Linked DNA regions of Caenorhabditis elegans. The protein of the gene in region 2 interacts with the protein of the main gene of each other region in a pairwise test. Each region holds a gene or a part of one and is shown on either strand. Other genes may lie near its edges.

Region 1 (3,744 bases), on a different chromosome or scaffold from region 2:
CAGATAATATGAGAATGATACATTCTTAAAATGAGGAGCAACTCAGGCATAAGAAATATGACAGATTGAGAGAAGCTGGAGAGGGAGATCATTCATGGAGAGTTGTACCAATTGCCACCTTCTTTGTACGACTTCTCGTTGTTGCAGTTAGGCGCGGTAGGAATCAATGGGTACAGATAGTAAACCCACCTGGAATGATAAATTTCAGTTAATTAATTGATTTAGATACTCACTGTGGATATACGAGTTCCTCGGATTCCTCCACAAAGCCACAAATACTCGAATCGTTCGAATTGTTGGTACCGTTCTACAAAAATACATTACAGCTAATGTTCAATGAAACTTTCTGGTACCCCATCATCGATAATCAGGTCCTGTGCGACAGGCTCGTCGATTCTTTGTCTCTCCACTTCTACTCGAGGCTGTGCCCTCTGAAACGGAATCGGCGCAACGGCGGGTGCTGTAGTTCTTGTCCTTCTATCTTGTGACAATCTCTGAAACCAAGGTTTGTCTCATAACGAAAATATGAAGAAAATAAACTCACTGGACCGGGAGTAGCCGACCGACGCGACATGCGGGATGTCTGAGCATTTCGGGACTCGTTCATCAGCTAAAACAAGAAAAATTAACTTTTTTTCGGTGTACTACAGCACTCACTATGATTTCGTCCGGATAAGATGGCCACGAGTCTGGCGATCCAAGGGAATAAGCACCTGTAGTCACCCAGTCGTACACCCTGAAGAATAAGTAAATTAGGAACATTTAAAAATTAGTTTCATACGTTTGTTGCCTGGCGACCTCACTGACTGGACCGCTCCAGATTTTGTCCCTGTATGCGCCTTTGCTGAAAAGAAAGTACTCGAAAAAATGACATTTTTTATTCAAATACCTCGGGGAGTGCTCTTCTCTTGGCTTAGAACTCCAATTCTGTCTCGTTTGATGACGTCCTCGATAGTTTGGCATCTGAAAACAATGATAAACGTTTTTTGAGCTTGAAAGGAGAAAATTTAGGCAAACTCGTCCAAAAATGAGAATTCAGACCGTTTTAAAAATAGCAAACAAGTTACAGTAATCAAAGGAGCAGTCAGTAAACTAAATTTAGGCCTCACCACGAGTTAGCGAATTTCACTTGCATTTGCGTATTTTTAAAGAATAGTACTTTTTAAAATTACCTCTAGTAATCAAATTTGTTGACAGTTTTGAAATGAATGAAAAATTTACTTTAAAATAAAAGGAAAAGCTGCATTTAGTCAAAAATTATTTGAATAGTTTTGAGCTTTTGTAATTGCGTGGCGAGACCAATGGACTTACCCAATCCGATGTACCTTTAATTTAGCATTTTATTTGCATTTTTGAAATCCTAAAATTCTTTCCTAGGCTTTCGAAATTGACGATTTTCTGTGTTTTTTAAAATTCAAATATCGTTTCCTAGTTTCGAAAATAATTTTTCGTTTTTTAGTGTATCATTTTAAGCTTGTCATTGGGTTTTTTCTTTCTTTGCATAGTATTCCTCGAGGAATTATATTATATTTCACATTTACAAACTCTTGCCTAAAAATGAGACTGTTTTTTTGCAGATGGCGCCCTTGGAAACCATCTACGACGAATCGCTCAACAAATCGGCGGATTCCATTGATGATAAGGTTTTTTTCATGGTTTTATGGCCATTGTAATTTTTTTCATCTTTAGAAATGGTCCAAACTTTTCCCAAGGATTGTCAGCGACCCGGATCGATCATCCAATTTCATGACCAGAGCAATCTACGTCGCGTTTTCGGCTGTTCTTAGGAACCGTAACATTCTTGGACAAGAATATTTCACGAAGAATTACATCACTGGTAAATGTTTTTCTTATCACATTTTATAGTAAATGTTCTTTTTCAGAAAAGCTGAAATGCATGACGCTGTGCTTCAGAAACCCACGGTCTAACCAAATCGCTCAACTACTTCGAAATGCTGGGGATGCAACAAAGGATGGGTTTCTGAAAGAAGTCTCCCTCGTGATCACAAATAATGAAGGAGATCTTGAAGCCATCGAAGTTTTCTCTATGAAGTTCATTTATTTTGAGAATGGCGGCGTGGTTGCTCGTCTGAGCACTGACAAGAATGGCCAGGAAGATCCTCACTTCGCAAAGCTTGCTCAACTTGTATACGAGGGTGGCGACAGCGTACGAGATCAAATGGTGACGATTGTTCGCAGTGTTCAGTTCCTCTGCACAAAAGTTCTCGAACCGTTGCCAGAAGAATTCACGGCTAATTTTCGATTGGAGTACACAAACGATGCTCCATCCAATTTCCGCATTGATGGCTTCGAAGATTCTTCCACTTTTTACACACTTCCTGATGATATCCAATCGGCAACCATTGGTCACTTGCGCCCAGGATGCCACGCTGCAAACATGGAATGCTGGAGCATGTTGATGTCCGATTCATACGAAGCAGAGTTGACTCTCAAGCGACACCTGGACAAAGTTTCCGATAGGCATGGATTCAATCCAGTGAATGTGCTGTATAAATCGTTTAATTCGGAGGACAGTGACACAAGTCTTAGTCAGGCCACTACTGAATCTGTCAACGATCAAGGAGGAAACGAGACTTCTCCGGTGGATGATATAACTGTTAGTTTATTAGTTTTTTACATATAAACAAAAAATTTAAAATTGTAGGAGTCTCTCGAGAAAGCACAAATGTCGCCTATCCAGACGAGACCAACTACTCGCAGAGGAGCCGATGGCAGCAAAACCAGATCGTCTCCATATTCTCGTTCCTGTAAATAATTTTTTTCCTAGCTTTCAATAGATTATAGCTTCATTCTGTAACTTGGCATGTTCTATATCATCGTGTAAAATGTTTTATTGTCTTGAGTGTTTCCTTTCTGCTCCATTATTGTATCCTTAGTTTTTTTTATTCAAATTACAGTCATTCATAAATAAATCGACTGGTGTTATTAAATAGCATGTTTCCCATGACTCCATTTTCAAGATACTCCAGTGCATTTCAGAATTTTTCAACAATTGACCAATCTAAAAAGGATTCTCTCTTTTCTTCTTCTGCTGGATACCGCTCCGAGTATCTTTCGGTAAATCTCGAAATTCTCTTTGTATTCACCATTCATGCTGACCTCGATAACTTTTCTCAAGGTTCTTTGCTAAAATTTATGTGGTTTGCAAGGGAACGTGGCGATTGTTGATTGTTGGTTTCAAGTTTTGAAAAAAAACACAGTTTATTCTACTTTTCAATGTCAGACGTCACAAAATTTATCAGAAAAAGCTTTTTTATTGCAGTGTCTGAAACAATTTTATGTAGTATTCAGGTTGATTGTAGTCGTTTTAAAGGCGCGTGCTACTTTAAATTGGTCTCGCCACGAAAACCATATATTTGTATGTTCTGTTAAAAAATCACATTCTAGCGAACAAATATCTCAATTTTCATTTAAGAAAGAGCAGTCGCGCCTGTCGCCAACAAAATGGATCGTGGCGAGACCTATCGAGAGAAAAATGTTCTTTTGAAGTGGAGTCTTCAGATTTGGCGAATTAATTCACGAATTCACGACTGGATATTACCCAGACACAAAATGTTGTAATTTTTTCGCCAAGAATACCAGGTCATGGGATTAAAAGGATTAAAGATTAAAGAATACAATTTTTGATTAAAAAGATTAAAAATACAATTTTTTATTTCAGAAAATACTGGAAATTCAAACTCTTCTTAATAAAAAACTTAATTTTTATCGATTTTTCATAGT
Region 2 (5,895 bases):
CAGCAACATCAACACAAATCAATCAAATGTGGTGCAAAAAAGGAGAATATTCTGCAGTAGCTTCTTTATTTTTTCAAAATCCTGAAGAAAGTGTGAAGAGTATGTTTCATAGTCCGATAAGTAAGTTTGATCTTTCAAAAACATTTAAGATCCAAATATTTTCAGATTCTTTTGGTGTCACAACTCTTGTTATTTTTGGAATTGAATATTTCTTGCTCACTCTCTGGACGTTCGGAATCTCTGTACCTTCTGGTGTCTTCATTCCAGCTATTCTTACTGGTGCAGCATGGGGCCGCCTGTTTGGAATTTTTGTTGAACGACTTTTCCCTTCGGTTACTGGAATTGATCCAGGAAAATACGCATTGGCAGGAGCTGCCGCACAACTCGGAGGCGTTGTTCGAATGACAATTTCATTAACAGCTATTATAATGGAAGCAACTAAAGATATTACATTTGGATTACCTATTATGTTGGTGTTGATGGTAACAAAATGGGTTGGAGATATGTTCAATGAAGGACTTTATGATGCTCATATTGATTTAGCAGAAGTTCCAATTCTTGGTTGGAATCCACCAAAGATGAGCAGAAACATTTTGGCAGAGTTGGTTTTTTTGTTGTAACAATTCGAAAATCTTTTTTTAATTTTCAGCCGCGTGATGCGAAAAGATGTTGTGGCTCTAGAACGGCGAGAAAGAGTATCCAGAATCGTTGAAATTCTTCGTTCCACACTTCATCATGGCTTTCCAGTAGTAGATAGAATCGAAGAATCGCCATACGAATCACTCCCTGATTATGGACGCCTGAAAGGTTATATTCTGCGATCACAACTGTTCAAACTTCTGGAAAATCGAATTTTCGAGGAAGAAGGAGCTTCAAACTCTGCACTTCCAAATGATTTTTATGAATGCCAGGATGACGACGAGTAAGTGATTTATATTGAATAAAATACGAATTTTAAAACAGAAATTGTTTGGTATTCAACATACTACGAAAATATTATAATTCAATTGTTATATATTTTATTTTCAGCCAAATGAAATCTGTTGCTGAACTCGGATTAACAAATTTCGACGAGTCATGTTTCCTGGACATTGAGCCCTACATGCATCCTCATCCGCACCGTGTTCCACTGAACACATCTCTTCCATTCATTTTCCGACTTTTCCGTGGACTTGGACTTCGATACCTTTTTGTGGTGAACGATGATAATCATGTGAGGACGAACATTATCCAAATTTATTTTTTAGTATTGTTTTTCAGCTTCGTGGTGTGATTACTAGAAAAGATGTTGCCAGATTCCGTGAAAGACGCCGAAACCGCGAGTATCATGTTGATGAACTTTATATTTCTGAATCTTAAATGTTCTTATTCTCTTTCATGTTCTACCATTGCCATTTTGAAAACGTGTTTTTTAAGTCATGGAAATGCACAGAGAGTTTAAAAAATATGTTTGCGTTTAGCAAGATGTCGTTTGGTCTCTTTTGGGAAATAAACTGAAAAACTGAAATTTCGTTTGAAAAAATAAATCGCAACACTACGTTGCAAAATGTGAACTTATTTTGAAATTTTCTGTTCATGTCATAGACACTTTCTTAACAATTTTATTCTGTGATAAATCTTAATCGGTACGTTTGTCTAATGTGTTTTCCGGTATTTAATTTCATTAATTATACTCTCTAGAAGGCGTGAAATAATACCATTATGATTTTATAGACAATTATAATTTTATAAAGGAGCATCGGTAATTAGGATGTACAGAAACACAATATAATTTTTAAAAAGGGTTGAAAGTAAACTTTTTTCAAAATTTAGGTATTATTGAGCCAAAGATCGCATTCGTAAACTCTACAATACCTAAATTATGATGCGAACTAATGCAGGAAAACAGACCAGGACTTTTGTGTATTTAAATATGTTTTGAAAAACGAAATGGGTTACTGTAGCCGAGGTAAAAGTACGCAGAGTTGCGTCATATCCGTTGTAAATAATTCGCCAAACGAAAATTATTTTCTAAATTAGTTTTTAGGAACATTTTTGTTTGGAATTTTGTATGAAACCATTTCACAAACCCTCATTTGATTTTTAATAAATTAATAATCATTATAACGCTTCAGATGAGTGCTTCTGACGGTGATAACACAGAACAAACTGGACGACGTCGCAGTTTTGGGAACTTGTTTGGATCAACACGTGTGCCTTTTTCCTCACTTTCCGATATTTATGCAAATCAAAGTACGTTCGCAAAAGATCAAGGAGTACAATCTGAAGTCGACGTTGCTGATGCCTGGAGCCAACATCACGCTCCAACAAGAGATCAATATGTCCAATCAGAAATTATCACGGCTGTGGAAACTTCAAGCCAATACGAGGTTCAAACAAAGGATAAGGAGGTGGAAGCCATTTGTTCAACGGCGAACAGAACAACACAAACTTGTCATGCAACCAATATCGCCGGTACAAATTCAGAATCTTGTTTAATCGAAAAATTGGCAAATTCACTTTTGGAACATCTTCAAGCTCGCCGGCCCATCAAAGCTCGGACAGCATTTCCAATTTATCTCCAGCAACCTGAACAACTCCAGTTGCTTCCTCCACCAGATCAGCAATCCGCGCCTGTGCCGCCGAGTCATCCGTTGCAAAATTCTGAAGGTAACCCACTTTAATATTCGAACTTTTTCCCATATTTTAATTCGTCCTACGCTCAGGTGCATACATTGAAAATAGGAACATCTCTTGTATATGTCCGCAAAATATTGAAAATATTTCTAATACTCATCATAAAATTAAATTTAAGCTCGTCAAGAGGATCTCGAACAAACTGAAATGCCACAAGCTTCGCAACAAATTGGAATTAATGAGACCAGTCTCAATGATGCCGATTCTCAATCGTTTTTCCATTCGAGACTTCATCAAACGGAACAGAGAGAAGGTATAATTGGCAATAGAGCTTACTAATATAAAATAAATCAATTATTTTGAGAGTAGTAATTTACAGAAACAAACTCAAACAGCATGCAGTCAATTCATTCACAGGTTAATCCACCAGCAAGTCAAGAAACAATGGAAAGTCATTTCCCTGAAATGATCAATTCTCGTAAGTCAGACCATCAACTTTGCTTCTCGTTTAAAAAAGTAACTTCAGAGCGATGCTCATCATTCCCAACTCGACATGATGGATCTTCGCATTTTGCTCGTTCATCATCTGGCTTGCTCGGAAGTATGTCTTCACAGCAACAACGGTCCCAATTTCCTGTTCCCCAAGAAGAAGGAAATCAGGCTGAAGACATGCGAGGGGCTCAGCAACCACATAATGCTAGAAATTTGTTTGGAGGTGAAATATTTTATATTAAAAATGCACTTGGCTCTGTTCAGTTTCGTGTTCGGCTAAACTTATTCTAACAGACAATGAAGAAATTCAAAATTTGTCTTCCACTGCCACCAGAAATCAGTGAATTCAATAATTTTATGAATTGACCAGCCGTGGACCGCACCTCCGGCGCGGCTCCCGACCTCTTGGAGCTAAAAACTAATGTTTCTGAAACTACCGTAATCATGCAGTACTCCTACCGTATCACTATTGTACCACTACAGTAACCCGACTATATCCTTACACTAACCTCAACTCACTATCCCTCCAGAAGCTAAAATTTCGCAGACTACAAAGACTACATAGACTACAAACTATGGACAAACGGAATAAGCGCTTTATATATATATATATATTAGTAAATGATAGTAATTAATTAATTTTCAGGGGTCGGAGGGATGTTTCCATCAATGCCGAATTCCTCGGGAGGACAGGGACCCGATTGGCAAAATAATCATTTCATTCGCCCATTCGGTCAACCTGCGGCTGGCATGATGAGTTGGCATCCAGGAATGATGCCATCTCGTGAGTATAAATTTTGACTACCTCTAATTATAGTCAATTAAACTACTTATGAGAAATTACACGTTTTAGATATGAATAACTCCGCGGCTCCATCTTCTTTTTTTGAATCTCCGTTCATGCCGCCATATGATGTTTTTATGCAGCAGCAGATGCTTCTACACTCTCAATACGGTTCGCTCAATTTCTGCAACTTATAGTAAAGGTATATGTTACAATTTCAGCGGCGTGGGAGCAACAACGGAATCATGCAATGATGTATCAAAATGCACAAAATCAAAATTCGGCGAATGTAAATCCTTCATTTGCCGATATCCCTTCTGCAGCGCCGATTTCTCAGCCAGAAGTCAATGTTAATGAAAACCAAATCGTTCCCGAAGAAACCGAAAGGCTTGAGGCTGATCTTGAAATCGAGAATACTGTCGATGCGATCATCGGTAATAAAAGTATAAATTACGACCTAACATAACATAACATAATATAACAGTAACAGATGTTGGATCCGTCAACCAAGCTGTATCTGGAGTCAATTCGATTGCTCGAGAAACAGAGGAAATCAATAATCAAGATGTGCGAAATGAGACACCAGTGGAAGATTTCGGATCCATAATATCAGCGATTTCTATAACTGAAAATAGAAACGAGTCTCCAATGCCAAGCGCATCTGAAACCGGTGAGGATCGAACACCAGTTGTTTAAATATAGGTTACACAATGTACACCAGGGATGTGTGGGATCTGGCTTTTTCGGCGAACGGAATTCGTCGTTTGTCGCTCAGTCCTGATGCGCCAAGTTATTTCTATATTATTTTATTTCTATTTTTCAGATGACACATCTCCACATACCTCGCGCTCAAGATATGGATCTTCTGTTGCCATTTCCACCGGTATGAAAAGAGCACGACTCGAACCATCACAATCTCCACCGGGCTCATCTCGCAAAAATTCAAGGAATGAGACGACCAAGAAAAATTCAAAAACTCCTTCTTCTACAATTGATAAAGAACCTACTTCATCAAAGAGGACAAGAAAAGGTATTATTGATTTCGAATTTATGTAAATAACCTTTATAAATTAACTACGTTTTTCAGCTCCAGCGCGCTACGAAGCGGAATGGAACGCCGAACAAGGAGGCGATACTCGTCGTGCAAAAAGGTGGTCAAAAGACTTCTATAAGGCTCCCAGTAAAAAGTAGATTTAATTTTTGAATAGGTAATAGTAAACTTTATTGTTTTTTGTTCATCATTCGTTGCCCATTGTTTCACCGATTTAAAAACGCGATTTCTCAAATCTCATTAATGTTTCCCTTTTTATTGCCAGATGTCTGGAAACCTAATGTTCCTTCTCCATTTTCTATGGTTTCTCTTGTTTTTTTTAAGTTTTTTTCTCATAATAAAGTTTTTTTCAAGCTCTGTCGTCCAAAGTAGTCTAGGTGTTCAGTGGAATTATTGAATGTAAGTTTCAGCGTCTTCAAGGGACATTGAGTGGGAATGGGGGAAGTGTTGGGTTACTGGTGCTGCGTTTGTATTAGAAATCAGAAAGTAAATTGAACGAAGAACAATTGTTTATTGGGTGAAATGTTCGGAATATAAATTTAATTTCGACATTAATCTATATACATAACCGTAATATTTAATTCTTTTTTCGAATTAATCAAGCAAATTGATGTTTCTTTTTCTCTTCTTCAATCGTCTCTCGTGTGACAAATGTGAATGATTGTGGTTTATCAGTTGCCATTGGAAAGAATAAAATATTGGCAATAAACATAAGTAAACCATTGAGAATATATACATGACCCCATTGAGTATGAGATGATTCATCTGATACAAATATGGCAACTGTTGCTGGAGCAGCAAATAAGGCAATACATTTCATAAATTGAATCATCGCAAGCACAAAGTGAGCATATTGACTGAAATTTGTTTATGGATAATTGCATGGTTTTCAGAATAATTTACAGTGAATTCATAATTTTCAGTGTTTAAATTTTTGGATTTGGACACAGTT

Evidence for each region. Proteins that work in one complex are often made in the same cells at the same time.
Region 1: the proteins of R07B7.2 (region 2) and htp-1 interact in a two-hybrid assay, tested with the Caenorhabditis elegans proteins (2 studies listed by BioGRID).

The regions. Positions count from the first base shown.
Region 1 is NC_003282.8:5,389,391-5,393,134, reverse strand, and holds htp-1 (HORMA domain-containing protein), read left to right. Parts: upstream 1-1,577; coding exon 1,578-1,643; intron 1,644-1,689; coding exon 1,690-1,837; intron 1,838-1,883; coding exon 1,884-2,617; intron 2,618-2,665; coding exon 2,666-2,776; 3' UTR 2,777-2,946; downstream 2,947-3,744. Other genes in the region: ZK616.5 (uncharacterized protein), read right to left, coding at 93-189, 234-307, 354-494, 545-610, 658-736, 782-844, 890-963.
Region 2 is NC_003283.11:12,055,967-12,061,861, reverse strand, and holds R07B7.2 (PUM-HD domain-containing protein), read left to right. Parts: upstream 1-2,112; 5' UTR 2,113-2,114; coding exon 2,115-2,649; intron 2,650-2,794; coding exon 2,795-2,929; intron 2,930-2,995; coding exon 2,996-3,094; intron 3,095-3,142; coding exon 3,143-3,331; intron 3,332-3,754; coding exon 3,755-3,892; intron 3,893-3,961; coding exon 3,962-4,063; intron 4,064-4,113; coding exon 4,114-4,335; intron 4,336-4,376; coding exon 4,377-4,562; intron 4,563-4,715; coding exon 4,716-4,922; intron 4,923-4,979; coding exon 4,980-5,083; 3' UTR 5,084-5,300; downstream 5,301-5,895. Other genes in the region: clh-6 (Chloride channel protein), read left to right, coding at 1-120, 166-601, 650-922, 1,030-1,213, 1,261-1,359; F10C2.7 (Major facilitator superfamily (MFS) profile domain-containing protein), read right to left, coding at 5,542-5,800.